Xenopus tropicalis: one gene and its partner. The protein of the gene in region 1 interacts with the protein of each later gene in a pairwise test. Links are inferred from orthologs where the notes say so. Each region holds a gene or a part of one and is shown on either strand. Other genes may lie near its edges.

The links.
Region 2: the proteins of ap1b1 (region 1) and kif13a interact in binary tests that used the Homo sapiens proteins (3 or more experiments, as listed by UniProt). The link is inferred for Xenopus tropicalis from reciprocal best matches to the Homo sapiens genes AP1B1 and KIF13A.

The regions. Positions count from the first base shown.
Region 1 is NC_030677.2:144,882,701-144,892,785, reverse strand, and holds part of ap1b1 (AP-1 complex subunit beta-1), read right to left. Parts: intron 8,601-10,085; coding exon 8,505-8,600; intron 8,418-8,504; coding exon 8,302-8,417; intron 8,154-8,301; coding exon 7,988-8,153; intron 6,950-7,987; coding exon 6,851-6,949; intron 5,569-6,850; coding exon 5,309-5,568; intron 5,224-5,308; coding exon 5,022-5,223; intron 4,612-5,021; coding exon 4,582-4,611; intron 4,317-4,581; coding exon 4,182-4,316; intron 2,874-4,181; coding exon 2,728-2,873; intron 2,635-2,727; coding exon 2,505-2,634; intron 2,153-2,504; coding exon 2,068-2,152; intron 1,510-2,067; coding exon 1,423-1,509; intron 1,134-1,422; coding exon 979-1,133; intron 294-978; coding exon 219-293; 3' UTR 1-218. UniProt on the Homo sapiens protein: Subunit of clathrin-associated adaptor protein complex 1 that plays a role in protein sorting in the late-Golgi/trans-Golgi network (TGN) and/or endosomes.
Region 2 is NC_030682.2:92,844,505-92,855,101, reverse strand, and holds part of kif13a (kinesin-like protein KIF13A), read right to left. Parts: intron 6,968-10,597; coding exon 6,822-6,967; intron 5,016-6,821; coding exon 4,911-5,015; intron 3,369-4,910; coding exon 2,333-3,368; intron 614-2,332; coding exon 327-613; 3' UTR 1-326. UniProt on the Homo sapiens protein: Plus end-directed microtubule-dependent motor protein involved in intracellular transport and regulating various processes such as mannose-6-phosphate receptor (M6PR) transport to the plasma membrane, endosomal sorting during melanosome biogenesis and cytokinesis.

The sequences.
Region 1 (10,085 bases):
TTTACCCATCCCAGAAAAATAAAGGCTTAAAATGTTGGGTAGGTGATGGTGCGAGAGCATAAAATCAACACTTCATTATTTGGTCCATGTTTGGTTTTCTGATTGAAAAGTAGGTTCATTCTTTTCCCAGAGGTCCCTTCCTGGTACGTCCAACCTCTATCCATAAAGAACTACATCCATCATCTTGAAAGGAAGGCTGGCGAGGATCAGGATAATACTTAGTTCTTCACAACAGTCTCGTAAGCTTGGAAGACGAACTGGGATACTTCGGGTGCACAGCACTTTAGAGACAGCTATTTACAAATACAATTGAGGTTAAGACTAAGTAAAGGCAATATTAATCCTTTTAGGAGAATAAAACAGTGCTTGTGAAGTTATCCCTTGCTATATGTAACCCATTACTGCCTGGTTACCTTCATCATGCAGGCATTATTTTAGTGGGTTCTGCTTATTAAGGGAAGAATCCTTTTAAATTTTAGTTACAAACTGTCTTGTGTATTTTAGAGAAAGTCTGTGAAAAGCTTGCTCAGGAATATCAGCAGTATTTATTAAACAATTTAATTTAATTTTAATGTAATTTTCCATCATGCCAAAAAATATCTGAGGGTGAATTACAGGAAAAGCAGTCAGTTTATTCTGAGCTGCAGCATATCTGCCATGTAGAAGTAAAATACAATACTGACAAAGTGGTATGGAAGGCTACTTTCCTTCCTTTTGGGTGGCTCTCCAAAGAAAAAAACATCTTTACAAATCTCATGTAGATGCTGACACTCTGCAGCCTTTAAAAAGTATTAATGAGCTAAAACAAAACAACCATACCCAATATCTAATGATTAGTGAACATATAATAAACTACACTGATTTTTACACATAAACCCACCACACATAATTCCACCTTTTCAGATGTTGGTTTATTGAGATATATATTGAGCAATATATATAAAAAAAAAAAAAAACGGTTAATTGTTGACTACTCACTGTGCAGTTGGGGCTACCAGGTTGCATTCTCACTTCTGCTAAAACCCAGATGCCATTGGTAAGCTTCATTGATTGGTAAAGCATATCTTGACCTTCAACTGTTCTTCGGGCCACCGTGAAGATATTGCTAGCCTGCAGCTTGTTGCTTACTGCATCTGCAATTTCAAAACAGTAATACAGCTGTAGAATATACACATATCCAATTATTTAGGGTAAAGTAACATGAATGCATTAATCCTGAAAGAAGGTACTAGTCATATAATGCTTTCAGAGGCCCTTTGACAGCACAATACTAAAATAAACTACCACCACAGTTATATAGCTGTTTGAAACTCACATTCAGCAGATGACAAAAAAAAGTAGCACACATCTAACCTGCTCAGCCAGCAATATGATGTTAACCGTAAATCATGCAATCATGCACCATAGACAGAGTTTCCTTACCTGAACCTGTAGGGCAGTCTCTTATTTGAAACTGTGCCTCATTCTCATTTGCTATATCCTTCCACGTGGCCAAAAACATCTGTCGCTCTTGAAGAGAGATTACAATTGGTTAAAAGAATATGAAACAGAATATGAATGAATAGGAAAAGGATAAATAATAGGGATGCACTGAACCCAGGATTCTGTCAAGATTCGTCTTTTCAGCAGGATTTGGCCAATTCCATGTGCCTGGCCGAACCGAATCAGAATCCTTAAAATCACATGACAGTTTGTCACAAAATAGTGTGTCTAATTTTATGTTAGACATCATTAGTCCTTAAACAGTTTACTTGGCATATGAGAAAAATTTATAAAGTGATATTGAGTTCTAAATAGGTCAGTGTTGTTCCTGGAAGATGCCATCCTTTCTCTAAGAAGTATGTACATCTATTTAAAATCAGTTATTGTACTGACAAGCCACCGCAGTCAGGTTTCTACATGCGCCTCTGCGATGCACACTGTACCACATGTAATAAACAACGGGTTCTTGCTTTCATTTTCAAGTGAAAAAATTAATTAATTAATTGCACTTCTGCATGTTTTTCAAATTCCCATTAAAACAGGGCAATAATGGGAGCCGTGCATACTGATGCCTCTTTCACTTACCCATCTTTCCATCTTCTATGAAAAGTATGTGTAGAGGGTACAAGATACTGAAGTAAAATACATCTATATTGTTCTTTACAGCAACCTATACAGGAAAGAAAACAAAGTATGTCTTTTCTGTGTTTAGCTACATACAACATGCAAAAGGCAAGGCCAACTTTTAGCTTCCCTCTCCCCATACCAGGTGTCCCTCTAACACGGTCTCAAAAATTAAATGCTAAGCAGAAACAGAACATGACTAAACATGACATACTTTAATGTAAGCAGCAAGCTAGCCATGCTATCATCATATTATAGGGCTATAAAGCTCAGTTTGTTAAATATCAGTTTAATGGTAAGAAACCTGTATACAGTATTAAAATGACTGTTTGTAAATGTACAAAGTATTTCACTGCAAGCTTATTGTTATCATAAATAGAATAACACAAACATTTTACCTGAAGGTTGTTAAGAGGTTCCATTTTCATGACAGAGCCAATTGTGTTTATCGGAAGAGACACTTCAGTAGACTGGTTTGGTGCCAAGGGTGTGAGTATCTGGAGAGGAGCAGCAGGTGCCAGCCCAAAACTGTAAGGCAAAGAGGAAGATAAACCGAATGGCACCATAAAGATTATTCCTTCAAACTTGATACGGAATGTACAGAATGTCTCAATTTGTTACCTATTGCGATTGAACTGAATAGCAAAGTCACTCATGACCTGGAGTGCTCGATTGGTGAAAACCAGGTCCATGAATACTGTTCCAGATCTTCGAGCAAAGGTACCACTAATTTCCAGGCCTTTCCCTTTCATAGCATGCAACCATACCTTAAAGAAAATATGTACAGAAGGCCAATCTTAGTGTTATATTGACATATAATTTCTTCCTTATTGCAGCAATTTGACTTTACCCTCCTCATTACCAAACAGCAGAAAAAGTCAGTTCTAGGTAGCCCTTCTCTATTATATGGCAGCATGGTTTTATTACAGCAATATAACTATATTGAGTAACCTCCCTTCTGATAAACAGCAGAGCACATTTATTGCTACAAACTACCGTAACCCATTATTTCATACTTAATAATAATGCAGCAGCACTAGAGGAAGAAACTGCCATGGTGGGTCCATATCTCTGTTATTTGCACTGTCCCTAGATCCCCTATCACACTTCATTAGAATGATCCCCTTCTTTAAAGGTCTGCAAGTGGGGAACTGTAACAACTACAATATCAATCTGCTTGTAGATGATATACTATGAACATTAAGAAAACCACAGACCTCTCTCTCCCATATCTATTCAAAACCCTGACTCAGTTTCAGGTTACAAAAACAATCCTGTCAAATCTCAGGCTCTGCCCCTTTCATTATCGTGGAATTAAAATTAATTTTGCATTCTGCTGGTCACAACATTCCATAACATATTTGGGTGTACATTTGGCTACTACTTTGATACAAAGTACACAGAAAACTATCCAGGCCTTATAACAAAGTAAAATGAGACCTGGAGACCTGCAACAGGCATAAACTGTCATGGTTCAGCCACACAGCATCAGTAAAGATGATCACTCCCCAGAATTCTCTCTTTCGGACACTTCATATTTACTTTCCAGAAAAAAAAAAATCTCTAAATTTATATGGGTGTCCTAGTATAAAACCTTACATTCTCACAAAGCCCTAATCCATTGGAAGTCTTGGTGTCTTGGAATCCACACCTGGTTGAACATTCAAACAGCGATTATAGTTAATGGTTTCATACATATGGTGTCATACATACTCTTCCAAATGTTTTACTGTAGGATTAAAGCGAATACCAACTCCTCGTAGGCCTAAGAATCCATACCATAAAGATTCAAAGTAACTGCAAACTAGCAACTAGCAAACTTATCAAAATGTGATAAAAATCACCCATGTTCTAATCAATCCCATAGGAATGAATATAACTTGAACATGGGGTGTGTTTTAAAGCTCTAAACTCACATTTTGATAATCTGCCCCATATTCTCCCACAGCCAGCCAAAAAAATGTTACACCTTCCCGGCAAAGATACTCTAAAATAGGCTTCAAACTTGTAACAAGTTTAAAAAAAAAACAAAAAAACAAAACAGTTTTCATTAGAAATGGGGTAATAGGACTCACTGCTTTTGGAGCCACATAAGGTCCAGGGACCCCACCTGTTCCACCACCTAGATCAAAAAGATCTCCCAGACCTCCGCCAAGAGATTGGCCAAGAGGATTTGCAGCCACAGGGGGAGCCATGAATCCTGTAGGAAGCTGTAGGACAGAAATTGTTAGGAATTATGGGAAACATAGAAAGTACAAAAACATTTGCATTAAAGGGCTTCAGCATTTGAGCATATATAACAGAATATATGCATGGGTGTACAATAACAAACACTGTGTTATAGCCACCAGAAATGAAATACTCACTTGAAAAAGTGAAGAGATGAAGAGAAAGGTTTAAACGAATAGATGGATAAAACAGAAAGAAAGCAGCAAATGATTATCCATCAAAGGTTATAGACAGCTGCGAACTTACCCCCAAACCAGTGCTTGCGTCTCCGCCCAGCTACAAAAAAGAATGAAGAAAAATATGGGAATTCAAAGCAACCTTATAACAGTTTCCTAAAGATATTCTGTGGAAGCTTTAATGCCAGTTCTTAATAAATAGAATAATTTAGGTGAGGGGTATAACACTTTGCCTTTACAACCATGTGTGCGGTTTCTTATATGATACAGAACAGGCCAAAAGGCAACAGCTTAAATGAGGTCCTGACAGTATGTGTAATGTATCTGTATGTAAGCAAGCTACTCCCGCCCCCAAAAAAAGCAGAGTGAAACAAAGCACAAAAAAAATCATAATAAATATCACATTTCTAAGTGGCTGTTGTTGATTAAAATTATGTAATTCTAATTTATATATTTCCTACATGTAACTGGAGAGATGTACAGCAACAGTTAGTTTCCTTAATTACATACCAAACTATCTAATCCTCCACCAAGCAAGTCCACACCTCCTAAGGGAACAGAACTTGTAGTAAGTGGAGGCCCAGTAATGGGTGGAGCTAGATCCAAGTTAAGGAGATCCCCCAGAAGGTCTCCTTGTGATGGAATGACAGAGGGGTGAGTCTCTGTGGGAACACCTGCGGGTGCTGCCTCTGGACTTTCTGCACTCTCGCTCCTACAGAAAAATAAATAAAGTTAGAGGGTTAGTCAATAGCTATAACACACTACAGACACATAGGATGCATCACCCATATACTTACGAGCCAGTGCGTGGCGGGAGCCTCTTAGGCACAACCCCTCTGCTTCCCTCCACAAAGGCATTAGGAGGCTTGTGGTAGACAGAAGCCAATGTTCCAATGTAACATATAAGCTCATCTAGCAAAGTGGGCTCAATTAGGTCAGTCTCTTCAGAAATCAATGGCTTCTCTGCTAAGACAACTTCTTTAGCAGCAACTGGGTCAGTGGACAGGAGCCTCCAATAGATGTAGCCACGATCCCGAAGATCTGGATTATCTGAATCCTAATGGACATACAAACAAGAACAGAATTTATATTGTATGACTGGTCATGTGGCGAAAGATGAGAGATCAAAAACCCAATCCTATTAGTCGGGCAAATTTATGCTATACTTAAAGAACTATCATAAAGAATCAATATGCTCTTACTGCCAAATAACAAAACCACAAACATAGGAGTTATATAAGTATTATGCAGTAGAACAGACATTGTAGCTGCTGGAACATAGTAGAATCCTGTGGTACATAGGTAAATAAGTAAGTAAATAAGGCTAATAGCCCACCACAGTATTTCACTAAATACGGTTAGCATCCTCCCTATCTCTTTCTGTTATTATGACTACCATCCTCTTAATTCCTTTTAGCACTTAAAATCTGGCTTCTTGACAGTTTCTTTCAGTAAACATGCCTATAAGTTTATTACAGTAAACATGGCAAAAAATCTGCTATTTTTAGGACTAGCATTATACCTTTCTTTCAGTTAATGCAGCTAGCATCCTAATGGTTTCTTTTAAATATGATTAGCATCCTGCCAGTATACATATGGATAATATCTTGTCTTCTTTCCATAAAAATATCTAGCATCCTGCCAGCTTTTTTCAGCAAATACATCCACTGTTTTGCCAGTTCCTTTCAGTAAATACTATTAGAATTCTTCTACCTTGTTTCTGCACGTCTAGCACCATGTCTGCTGCTTTAAATATGGATAGCATTACCTGTATCAGTAAATACTGCTATAATCCTACGAGTATTTAGTAAGCAAGTCAAGCACCCTGCTAGTGTTTTTCAGAAAATACAGCTAGCATACTACATATTTTGTTCAGGATAAAATGAAAAACAGCAGCACTCCGGTAATGTTGAAGAAAAAAGTGACTTTTACTCAAGTGCACAAGGCAACGTTTCGGGCTTCAACCCAGCCCTTTATCAAGCCTTTATTCAGCGTGCACCTGGGGCTACAACTAGCCGGTTTGTTCATTGTGTAGCACACCTTAACCAATTTGTTGACATATTTTGTTCAGAATATATGTCTAACGTGCTTTTATTTCAGTACATATTCCTAGCATAGCATAATATCGGTTTCTGTAAATATGAATAGCATCTTGCTTATTATTGTCAGTAAATATGATTAGAATCCTTTTGTGAAACACATAAAGCTGAATAAGCCACGGGATGCCAGTTTCTAAAACAGCCAGTGCCCATCAGTAACTAATTAATACAAAATTTATCAGGATAAAGCTACTGAGTTAAAGGCAAAGGGTCTGTGCCAGTCAGCAGACTCATACACACCTGTGTTGCTAAACTCAATACTTGTTGCACCAGTTCCTGGGTCTCAGTTGGTTTTTTCAAGAAAAGCTTCACAATTGCTGTTAGAAGTTGTAACTGGACCTAAAAAAAAAAAAAAAAAGATATAATTTACTTGCAGGATCCATCTTGGATTTTTAATGTATATCAGTGGTTGACAAACTGTGGGGCTGTCACCCCAGGTGTCTCAGAGAACTGGCTGGGGATCCCAATCTGAAGGCTGGGTTGAGTGAGCATAAGGGCAATGACACAAATAGATTAATTGCCCCGCAATTAACTTCAGATGGCTTTGGAAAGCTGAAGTGGCACATATGTTTTCCTACCGGAGATTTACATTTTCACCTGTAGGAAAGCATTCAAGCAAATTAGTCACTGCTGCTAGAGGAGATTAATCACAGGGCAACTAATCTCCTCATGTATCATTACCCTAAGGGAGAATTTCCATGTGCTCTCCTCTTTTTACCTAGAAACTATGAAATTCTGAATTATGGCTGAATGGCTATTACACTAATGTGTCTTACATATGTAACCATATGATCTTAGGAAGCTCTCATAAAATGCAGTGCCTGAAAAGGGAACTAAAGCTGAAAAAGGTAAAAAAAAAAATCACTGCTGTATGTTTAATATAGTATATCAATTTTACTGTATAACTCCATCATTCTAAAAACCTGTGGTGGACCAGTGAAATATAAGCAGTTTCCTAAGGGCCGTGACTAATCTCCCCACAATGCCATCCCACCGGCTAGAATGTAAATCGACGGCGGGATGGCATACGCGGCGGCGCAATTGCCAAAGTCACTGAAGTTTCCTTGAGAGGAAACTTCGCGACTTCACTGTCACAGCCCTAAAGTCAGCAAACTGATCCATACCTAAACAGTCTTTCACTAGGAACTTGAACTAGACAGCATTCTTTGAAATTCGACTGCAAGACATATAGTGCAAAACTAGCACCTGGATATATATATATCTAGAACAATGCCAGACAGTGCCTTAGCCAGTTTTTAACATGCACAGAACAAGCATTGTTCATACCTATTCTGTGTGCTTAAAAGTGGCAATTATACAGGTAAATTCTAGTGTCTAATTTAGCCTCTCAATTTTAACTGCAAACTTGTATCTTGCCTGTGTGCTCTCATCATGGAATCCCTCCAGGAAGCTCTCTAGTAGCTCGTCTGCATTGTCTATGCGTTCTGCATATTCCCCCACAATCCAAATCATTGCAGCCCGAGCCTCCGGCTCATCCAGAGAGTCCAGGTTCTCACATAAAGTTGATATGACACTTTCATACCTTAAGAGCAAGAAAAAAAGATTTAGTATAATTGTCAATAGAAGCTTATTCTTACATATCAATTAGATTATATGATTTGTAAGATGCAGGCAGAAGGAGAAATTGCAGCAAAGTAAGACTTGATTAATGAAGACTCAAGCACACCTACTTGTTTGGATACTTCCTGAATATGTCCTTTATCACCACGATGGCTTCCTGAACTACATAATTGACTTTGGTTTGGATGAGATCAAGCAAGGTGCTAACGCAGCGCTCTGCAGATTGCTGTAGGAAAGGTCAATTTTTTGTGATTTTAGTTCATCATGTTAATTAATTCTTGGTTAAAACAGTTTAGAAAATATAGTCTTTTACCTCCACCTTGATGGCACAACGTCCGATTGCTCTTACAGCTTTGCGCACAAAGTCAACATCCACTTCTGTGGCATATTCCTTCAGCTCAGCAAGAACCTAAAGAAAGGAGTTAAAGGAAAACTTTAAGAGAGCGCAGAGGAACTCATAAAACTCATAGCAGACATACAAAAAAAGGAGCCTTTGCGGTTCCAAAAATGTAACATAGGGAAAACTAAATTACAAGATTAGTACATTACACCTTCTTTTATTCCAAACATCCTGGATGTATGTCAGATATTATAGAGAAAATGAAAATTAAACTTGGCTCATTATTGTACTTCCTTGATGGAAAAATAGTACAGTGTAATGTAACAGCCGGATACATAACACAGTAAATAGTAGATGAAACAAAACTACGTCTAGACAGGATATATTTATTCAAAGTCAGTGGGCCACAAAGTACAGACCAGCCAAAAAGAAAGATACTCAGTGAGGCTCACCTATAAACAGGCACATGCCCTGACAAGAATAAAATGATGTACATGCAATCAAGCACTGGTAAAGAACACTACAGAGGGATACCAAGAGGAAAAGAGAAAAAGCACAGGGTTTTCCATCAAAGCTTTCATTTGTCTCACATGAGATGAATAGGAACAATGGCTTATTATATTTAGGGGCTTCATTCATCATAGAGCGAGGGGTTTTAGACACTTTGATGAATAACTGAAAAACCTTCATCTTTGTGTGAGAAAAATATAAAGCCCTCAAGAAGAGGCAATATCAGCAAACATATTTTGAAGAGACACAGATGATTAGCATAACCAAAACATGCTACAGCCAAAATCTCTAGCTATCCAGAACAGATAACCCAGTCATTTGTACTAGCGTTTAAATACATACTAGTACAAGTGGTACAAAAAGGATGGCTTATTATATTACATCAAAGTAATACACAAGCATACATTCACATTTTGTTCTCTTCCTTTCCCTGAACTATGTCTTTGTTCAGGATTTAGTGTTGCTGACACTAATCCTTTGGCGTCAAAATTAATTTAGTGTGTGACAGAAATGTTACTTTCTCCAATATGCTCAGCTCCCAACTTTTAGGGTGGGTCTACCTATTGTAATCACTTGCTCCAAATGTCTAGCCATATGTCCTGGTTTTGCCTACTTATATGGTTCACAGAATTACATGTGATTCAACAGAAGGGTATATCTTACTTTGTGAGTGTTCTCCATCTAGTGCCAGTTTTTCCACAGTCCCTTACCCATTCACAGACCTTCACCCACTGGTGAAGGTATTCAGTAAGCATGTGCAATATTTAAATTAAGTTTGGTGTTGCTGGAAGGGTCTGGCTCTAGATGGAGGGTACCAGGAACATTCAGAGCTAAAACTGTATTTACATAGGTCCCTTGTAGAAAGCAAATTAAACAAACCTGAAATTGGCAACTAGCAGGCACAGACCCTTTTACAAAAAAGCTTTAAACCTTCCACGGGTTAGTATAATGTTGCATCCCTGAAGGACATGACTGCTTAGTATTACAAAGCACACCAGTTTGAAAGGCTTTGAATTTATTAAAAAACCAGCAGTAACTTGACTC
Region 2 (10,597 bases), on another chromosome or scaffold:
ATGGTTTATTTTTCTTCTCTGAATAAAATAGTCCTTTTTTTCTCTGATTAAAATAGAGCTTCCGAGTCATCGTGTAAGAACAGCCCAGTACCTGCCCTCTATCTACAGATTCAATTTCAGTCATGCTTTTAGTGTGCAGCAACAACCTGCCTACAAGGCAGACACAATTCATGTAGAGACCACATTAAAAACAGAACATTGTCTGTGACTCTATCCAGTAAATGTTTCAGAATGACAAATTAAAACTGTACACTGTACAAAAACTTTTTTTTCTCAACATATTGGTTCCCACACGAGATTTGTGCAATAAGTGCAAATAATGCTTCTTAGTTAATCCAGGATTTGCGGAACTCCTGCTTCCTAGAGAATGCAGACGCTGCCTGATCCCCCGACAGGTAGGCTGCTGTGACTCGTGCCTTGGGAGCTGAAGAGTCTCGAAGCACAGCACTTCTCCTCTTGTCTATGTTCAGTGATGCCTGACCCCATGCAGTGCTGCTACTGCTCCTCTGTGATGAGCCAAGTGCTTTGGTAAGCCGACTGGGGCGGACGAACACTCCGTACTTGGGTTTGCAGCGGAAGTACTCCTTGCCTTTTACAGTCCCATCATGTTTACCTTAAAAGCAGAATAAAACAATTTAATCTTAAAAAAATGTAAACAACCAACCCTACAGCTGTTTTTTTGGGTTGTAGCTTGCTGTATAGCAACATATACAGTGAGGAACATAAGTAATTGAACACCCTGCGATTTTGCACTTAGAAATCATGGAGGGGTCTGAAATTCACACTGTAGGTGCATTCCCACTGTAAGAGACAGCATTTAAAAAAAAAAAAAAAAAAAAGGAAATCACATTGTATGATTTTTAAAGAATGTATAAGTATTTGAACACCTGGCAATCAGCAAGAATTCTGGCTCTCAAAGACCTATTGCTCTGCCTTTAAATAGTCCACCTCTACTCCGCTCATTAATCTAAATTAGTAGCACCTGTCTGAGCTCTTTAAAGACACCTGTCCACCCCACAGTCAGTCAGACTCCAACTACTACCATGGGCAAGACCTAAGAGCTGTCAAAAGACACCAGAGACAAAATTGTGGACCTCCACAAGGCTGGAAAGGGCCACGGGGCAATTGCCAAGCAGCTTGGTGAAAATAGATCAACTGTTTTGGGGGTGCTTTACTGCAAAGGGGACAGGACGACTGCACTGTATTAAGAAGAGGATGACTGGGGCCATGAATTGTGAGATTTTGAGCAACAACCTCCTTCCTTCAGTCAGAGCATTGAAGATGGGTCGTGGCTGGGTCTTCCAACATGACAATGACCTGAAGCACACAGCCAGGATAACCAAGGAGTGGCTCCGTAAGAGGTATTTCAGTCTCCAGACCTAAATCCAATAGAAAATCTTTGGAGGGAGCTGAAACTCTGTGTTGCTCAGCGACAGCCCCGAAACCTGACAGATCTAGAGGAGATCTGTATGGAGGAGTGGGCCAAAATCCCTGTTGCAGTGTGTGCAAACCTGCTCAAGAACTACAGGAAACGTTTGACCTCTGTAATTTCAAATAAAGGCTTCTGTACCAAATATAACACTGATTTTCTCAGGTGTTCAATACAAATAAATTCTTTAAAAATCATACAATGTGATTTCCTGATTTTTTTTTTAACTGCTGTCTCTCACAGTGGGAATGCACCTACAATGTGAATTTCAGACCCCTCCATGTTTTCTAAGTGGGAGAACTTGCAAAATCGAAGGGTGTTCAAATACTTATGCTCCTCACTGTAACTGCATACTAGTCTGAAAGGCATTTATAGAGAGTGTAAAATGTACTTTTAAGTATTGGCTCACACTTAGGGGGGCATTTATTTATGGCTGATTATTTCAGTTTGAGTTTCTTGACGCCAAACAGGATTTCAGATATCCCTTTGACAACTGGAAGATTTTTTTGCTTTGTGGTTTTAGAGATTTTCTGCTTGTTTTAATGCTGGCTTTTGCACAATACGAAAAGGTTGTGATTTTCGTGCAACAAATTGAAAAAGTTGTGGTTTCTGTATTTTTCTGTTACTTTTTTTTGTTTGTGCTTTTTCAATGCGGATCTTTTGATAAATGACTGACATTTAGCATGAATTATGGAGAAAGTAGTTCATAATTCTCACAGAAAAGAACAAAACCCTTTTATTATCCAGCTGCAAGTAGCAACCATTAATATTCCTATATGAAATACAGCTGGGGCAGACATATATATTTATATTTTCATGATTTTATCCCACAGGGCAGGCATATACGTACATCTCCAAAATTAGTCTGAACAGCAGCCAGGAGGCCACTATTCTTTTTCTTACCTAGCTGAGCATGAAGCTCAATTCCAACCCATGTGCCACGTGAGAAATCTACTGTGCCAATGTAGCGCACTGTCCCAGTTTTGTTCTCTCCAATGCATACTTGATCGCCGAGTGCGAGACACAGTGAATTGTGGGAAGGATTGTCTTCAGAGTCAGAAAGATTTAAATTAATTTTTACAAGGGAACTTTCTTCAGAAGAACAAGGGGGAGATTGGCTAAATAAGGCAGCATCACCCAGGCAGTCTGAGTCATTACCATCCTCTGCCAGCCAGTGTTGGCTGGGTGTTGCATTAGGGAGGGCTGCTAGGGAGTTGCACTCAGCTCTATCTTTGTCTCCATTGGAAAATAAAACCAGGGAGTGCTCGTGTTGCTCCAGATCTTTGCCATCCTCAGCCCCCATGAACTCTGTGAATGAATGGTCCTCTAATATAGCACAAGTGTGCTCCACAGCAACTTCACAGGGCAGGAAATGGACAGTGCTTACTTTAGTTTTGTAGGTTGGGGAGTCCACAGAAGAGCAAGATGCACTTCTGAACAGGAGAGCAGCAGCTTTATCAGTAGTGCAATGTGGCACTTTATCAAAGGCACTTTTTTCTGTGAGGTTTGCTAGGCTTGTTGCATTGTCTGTAGAAATTCTACCATTTAGTCCCTTGTGAGAGCAAACTGTATGATCCTTTGCAGAATGGTGAACTAAAATATCTCGGCTTTCAAAATCCCCTGTATGACTGACTAAATGATCCATGCTCTCACTGGAAGGGACCAGTATGTCAGAAAGTGTAGCATTGGACGCACTGTGAGAAAAATAGCCACTAGTAATACTGCTGGTGGTAGGACTCCGAGAAATCTCTTTCTCTAGAGGCCGGGAGCAAATAAAATCTGATTTTGAGGTTATCCAGTCCTTGTTGTCCAGGCTAGCATTGTAAACACTGAAATCAGCAAATTCTTCTGGGATGTAAGGCTGGAAATGCTGAAAACTGCTGGAGTGGATTCCTTTTTTACTGCTCCCATCAAATTCATTATCCTCTTCCTCAGACTCCTTTAAGCAAAACACATAACAGCATTGAGTTAGGAAGTTAATACAGGTATGGGATCTGTTATCTGGAAGCCTGTTATCCAGAAAACAATCATGGTAAGACCATCTGCCATAGACTCCATTTTAACCAAATAATTCAAATTTTTAAAATGTCTATTATTTTTCTCTGGGATAATAGCACAGTACCTTGTACTTGATCCCAACCAAGATAGAATTAAACTTTATTGGAGGCAAAACAATTCTATTGCGTTTGTTTAATGTTTAAATGATCTTATAACAGACCCAAATTACAGAAAGAGAGATCCAAATTACAGAAAGCCAGTATCTGGGAAGGCTATCTGGAAAATCACAGGTCCTGAGCATTCTGGATAACAGGTCCAATACCTGTACTCTTTGAAATGATGGATAAGCTAATACATATCTCTTTACCACATTTACAGTGCTGTCTAATTATATCTATTTTAATATTTGAATGTGTTGTTATATGCATGTTTATTACTGCTGGGTGCATCTGTCACTGGTATTTTATATTATGGGCTTCCCGTGCAGGGATAAAGAACATCAGGGAAGCACCGTAACAGGTACCCTAAGCAGGATATATTAGGATGTGACTCACTGCAGCTACCATTTGCAGAAGAACAAATGGCTTAACCCTGTAAATGATGGTAAGCGTACAGGTTAGATATATATTTGCTGTTAGTGCTCAGAACTAGAGTATAACCTGCCTGGCTGTACAACAGTTCAGGTACCTCTAGTTAGTCATATAACCACTGAACTGGCCATTAAGACATTCTCCTGTCTCTATTTTTTAAACAAATGTAGAAGTATAGGGTAAATGTGTTAAAAACATAACTTTACTGTATGCATAATAATATGATACAGTTGCATAACAATATGATACAGTTGCATAACGCAGGGGCATCTTAGGCTCAGTGCCGCCCTGAGGTGGCCAAGTCAATGCGCCCACTGCACAAAAGGGGGCCTCTTTGCTAGTGCAATAGCGCTCTCTGCATTAGAAGAGATGAAATTCCAATTTAAACATTTTAATTTTGGATCTTTAAGTTACAAGGAGTGGCTTTTTGCTGCCCCTGGTAACTTGCAGAGTGTACCACCCCTGCCTACTCCTCTGTCACTGATTGTAATGTAATAAAAGTAGCACTGGGTCTAGTAACCCACGGCAACCAATAATTAAGATGCATTTACCATTCATATACTTAAACCATATCAACCAATTACATACTTCCTCTTATTAGACCTGGTGCGAGCTTTACACCTTTTATCACATTACAAAGGTTTATTTCTGACATGGACACATTTAGGCTGTGAAATGTACTGTTTAATTAACAGCCAAATGGCTGGTCCAGGAATGTGATTGGTTCATGCAGCCTGGTGGAATAGAAAGCAGGGAAAGCATGAGCAGGAGGAGGAACAGATGCCCTGAAAAAAAGTATCTATGCAAAATCTAACATTCAGTGATAAAGAACTTAGTGTTACAGATTTGTACTCGCTGTTTAAACAACACCCCAAGGTGAAACCCAGACTTACAATGACATCTTCATGAGTGTTATTGTTTTCTACTGGCATGCAGTTGTCATAAGGTCCTGACGGCACAGCAGTGCCAGTGCTAATTGTCTGGGATGAAGGCATGCTCTGCAAAGGGTGAGACACACAACACATCACAGCACAAAAACAAATGTGAACACAAACATTTAAGTGACATGTTAAAACCGCGCAAGTGATACACAAACAAAAGCACGCATATTAAATGTGACACATGCAAACCTAGAGATGTCTTAACCAAGCAATTAATGTGACTCTCATGCAACATGTTTGTGAGAACAATTCATTTTCATAAGGATTTATATAAATATTATTAAGGGACAAATAATATGTTCAAATAAAGTTGTTTTTTTTTAAATATATATATATATGTTTTTTCAATAGTAATTTGATAAAATTTATAACATGGTCATTTTTTGAACTGTGTCTCACACAAAGCTGCACTATGTGGTTGTGTGCTTGGAAAGGAGACTTTGGCTGTGTACTGATAGCCCCTTTTAGTGATATTACCCTAGTGCAGGGCTGTCCAACTGGAGGCCAATGGGCTGGATGTGGCCCTCCTAACAATTTTTATGGCCCCCAGTCTGCTCAAAGGCCCCACAGACTTTAACAGGCCCTTAAACATACTGTATGAGAAGTAATTGTCCCACTACACATAATAAGTTCGACAGCACTGCCCTAGTACATAGACACCAGACCAGTTAAACTATGACAACACATGCTGTGAATATGAGATAAATCAGATAGGAAAGTGCACTGTGATGCAGAAATGGGGAATGACACAAGACACATATTCTGGGGGTGGGGGATAAAGAAACTTTAGCTTGTACACAAATTTGTTTATTCTTCCAAATTCCACTATATGCAGCACATAGTTAGGTTTGCCACATGGATGTATTTTATTTTACCAACCTGACAAGTAAAAATAATGGTTCATGCCAATGTTATTAATAAAAAAAATTAGAATAATATATAGGAAGGCTGTTTTTTTTCCCTAGAAAAAGTGGCAACCCTATGCATAATAATGGTTAACTTCATGTTGCATGTACTTTCCAGTCAGGCCTGAACTGGAAATCTGTGGATTCTACGCCAAAGAGGAGGCTGCTGTAAGATGCCATAGACAGTAGCGATGCACTGAATCCACTATTATGGGATTTGGCCAAACTCTGAATACTTCATGAAAAATTCGACTGAATACTGAACGAAATTTGAATCCTAATTTGCACATGCGCAAGGGTGAAAGAGAACCGTGTGCAGCGAAATTTTTTTAACCTTTGTACTTGGGTGACAAAAAGTCACGTGATTTTAAGGATTCAGATTCAGTTCAGCCAGGCACATGGATTTAGCTGAATCCTGCCAAAAAAGGCCAAATCTTGGCCAAATCCCAAACCAAATTCTGGATTTAGTGCATCCCTAATAGACAGTCACTATTTATTGGGCCTGTGGGGGCTGTTTGGGCCTCTGTGTACTTGAAATGCCAAGGCCTATTTTGAATCCCAGTCCAGACCTGCTTCCACTACTGGGCTCATCATTATAGCAGCACCAGCCTGTTCCCATGACATGCTGTGATTTTACAGACCATGACAGATAGCACAGTATGAAAACAGTCACTTCTTAATATTCCACCCCTGTTTCCCAAAAATGGTTGCGAAAAGGTAACTTACCATAACAGTGAAACAACCTGGCATTTTACCCAGAAAGGGTAAACTTCCCTACACTGGTGGAACATTGCCAAAGATTATTGCTTTGGCAGGACTCATTATTAGACGCCAAGAAGTTGCAGCTTTGTATATTATAATGGTAATCTGAATTTGTATTTTTTATAAATCACCTATAAATAAGCAAAAAAAAGGTCTGCACTTGAGCAACATGATGTATGGAAAGAAGGTTCTGTACCTCTTGACTGAGGAGAGGCTGGGTTTCAACAGGAATCTTTCTTTTGTGCTCCTCCCTGACAGGCATCAGTGGATTGAAGAATTTTGGTGGTTGATGAGAAAATGTTTTGAATGGACTTAAAGCATGTATACTGTCTGGTATACTGCCTGGAAAACAAAACTCATGTCATTTATACAACTTATAGTTAAAGGGGAACAATCATGAAAAATGTTTTTAGAATATTAAAAGCTATAAACTGTTAAAATGTTTGTCTAGACTTTATATTTTCAAATTTTTTTTCACCGTTACAATGTTATGACTAATTATTGAAGCGGCCTCCCATCCCCCACCTTCCAGAATCTCTGGCTCTCTGGTCTGTCAGTGACGCAGAAATGTGTGAGTGACAGAGCAGAGAGAAATCTGATTTGCTGCAGCATGTCATGAGGCCACACCCCTCAGAAGCAAACACGTGCAAAGGGATAGTAAAGGAATGGAGCCAGGCTGGGGGCTGATGAAGATCGATTTCTACATATAAGAGTAGAGCCCCTTATTGTTTCTATCCACATATACACAGCACTTCAGGCTCTTTTGCATTTGGGTTTTTTGCTGCTCACCAGTAACCTTAGATCAGCTGCACCCTCCAGCAATTTACACATGCATATTAATATATTACTTCAATAGCCAGATACAAATGTAACAAGAGTGTATAAAAGAGACTTCCTCCATACCAGTGACACATCAACTGCAGCAATATTACAGACCTCTGCACAGGCAACTGTGTGTGTACAGGCACATAGACTCCTGTATGTTGGATTCACAGAAACCTCTCTATCAGAACACTCGTGTAAACTGACTGCCAGGCTTTCAGGCTTCTTGATTAACCACCTCTAATCAGGCCCACCTGGTCAGTCTGTAGCATTTACTCTGCTAAGGCTGATGCCACACGTGGCGATATCATCATCCATAGAAATAGCTTGAAAAGACTCGAAGCAAACCACACAATGCGGAAATACGCTAGAAAACGCCTTAGCACGGATATTTCAAGCGTAGGCCGAAATACGCCAGTATTTGCAAAGCAAGCTATTCCTATGTATACGCAAAGGCAGCTGCCAGACCTAGCGGAAATACGCAGCGTTTTTTGCTATTTTGCACTATTAGCACCATGGAAACGGGATTTGCTTACGTCACCAGTATTAGGCTGAAAAACGCCATAGTCAGGGGCTGTGTGGCTTGTGCGGCGTTTTTAGGCCGAGAAAAAACGCAGCGGAAAAACGCCACGTGTGGCATCAGCCTAAAGCCAGTCAATGTAATCTTAAGAAACAGCTATATAGTCTGCTATCAATTAGCTTGTATACATATAAAGAGTGACTATGCTGTTATAGCACGAACAGTAGCACAAGTTACTGTTCCTACAACATCTATTTATAAGTTATTCAAAGGGCAAATTGTAGTTTTATGGGAATGTGCAAGTGGATGCCCTAAAGCTATTGTTTAACTACAACAATCACCTGCTAGTTCTTTTGGCGTGTATGTTTCAAATTGCTGGGCCTTTGTGGCAAATAACTAGATTGCTGCTGCTCAATAATAGTGATATTTGGCTTCTTTCATGTTTTTCTAATAAATAATCAAGAAATCTCTATGTTCTATGTGTTTGTTAGTGACTCAGGTAAGTTAGAGGGAAAGTGTCAGACAATGTAAGGGTGAATTGGGTTGAATTTTAGAAGCCTTTTCCAGATTTTCTATTAGATAGGAAAGATGGGCAGGTGGGGGATGAACTTCTTGATGTCAGTCAAGAATGGTTGGAACACTCCCACCTCTGCTCAGAACACAAGCTGCCTGTCAGTACTGAGCCAAGTTAAGCCCATTCATGATAGTTTAAACATAATAGGCCTTATTTACAAAAAAGAGACAAAGTGCAAAAAACATGTCAAAGTGCCATGATTTTAAATACCTGTATTATTCACCTTGCACCAATGGAATTGCGCCCAGAATGTCTGTAGTGCTGCCTGTGTTTGGAGGTGTTGCTTACAGGAGCAGCAGGTAGTCTAGAGCACATGGCCATCTCCTGACTTGCTTGTCATTTGGAGCACAAAAGATAGAAGTATGGGCAATGCAAAGTTCTAGGAAGCCTTGTATTTACTGCCAGTTTATGGAAACTGCCAGGCCTAGACTGTGGCTGCTATAAGATGCTATAGACAGTCACTATTTAGTGGGCTGGTGAGGGGCTCTTTGGGCCTCTGTGTTCCTGAAATGCCAGGGCCTGTTTTTATTCCCTGTCCAGGTTTGGCAGATACTATGCACAGAGCGCTTCCTTGTGCCTGTTGGTACTGCACTTGGCACTACATGCAAGTAGTTTGTTAATAGTGCTCTATAGGCTGTGATTTTGCTTAGCCCTTCATAAATAACAGCTAATTTGTTTTTTCAACGGAGTTCTAAAATTGATAAAGCCTACAATAATGTATAATACAGGAGAAATACAAGTGGGATATAAAGTTGTTTCAAGTTGTATACAAGTGAACAAGTAAATAAAATACTGTATGTAATGTTTATTAGTAATTTAAGTGATTACCAGCCAAATAATTTTAGGTTAGATACTCCAAATTTCTAGAACCTAACATGCATTTTGCACTGCAATGGTGCTTCTAACCAGGGTTGCAGTGCGAAATGAGCATCAGTTTTTACAGCACCATGCTACCACACTTACTCTTTTACAGCATGCGGTCCAGAGGTATACAATGCTTACACTATATCTGAGTATGATCAAATGGCGTATTACTGTGTAATGTTCTGTCCAACTTTGGGCATTCTGCTTTGCTTATTTGAGTGCATTAGATCCATTCTATGTGTACGGATGTTGTGCAGAAGCATTATAATGCTTAGGATAATACAGTTATAGATACTTTATTTATTTATTTCATACTATGTTGTCCTTACACTGGAGATGTATTCATTGTAATAATTATAATGAACTACATTTAAGCAAGTCACCGTGCTGTTATTAAATAATATTCATATAGAGTGCTGGGGGAGTGGTAGACATGGTAGTGCTGGGTTGTTATTCTAAGTGTTTTTAACAATGCTCATATATATATGAAGTATTTCACGTTTATGTAGTGCTTTGTAACTCAAAAGTACCTGCAGCTCAGGGTCTAAGGACTGGGGAAATCTTCCTGTTACACCATGATGGGAGGGAACTGCTGCAGAATGACAATGTTTTTATGAAATTAATTCTATACTTTAAAACCTTAACAGGATTGCCTGGATTGCTGCCTCCTGTGTAAAGCTGGCCATACACGCACTGATAATATTGTACGAAACCTCGTGTCCCTCTACCCCAGTGCAAACCAGTGGTCCAAGTGAACAGTACTTTGGGGTAATGATACCTCCGATCACTACCCGACAGGGGCACTTGGGCAGCGGTGGGGTGAAACATTTCTGGGCTGGCTAATTTATAAAGTTTACACAACTACAGAAAGATTTTGTACTACACTAAATACGCACTATTTCCCTGATTCCCAGACAGGGTGCCAAATATTAGAGAAACCTCTCTTGAAAAATACCTGAGGAGACCTGACCTCTCCAAATCACTAAGCTGGTTTTACACCCTCCTTTTAAAGGATGCTTTCGACCAGTTCAAACACTTCAACCAGAAGTAGCAGCAAGACTTTCCTCAATTAGATCTGAAGGGTCATGAAAGGATCAGCATATCTTACAGAGAGAGGTACATTCACACAAAGTTCCTTAACTGCTTTTTTTTTTTTTTTTTTTGACACCCTGGCTATCCTTATGTTTGCCCT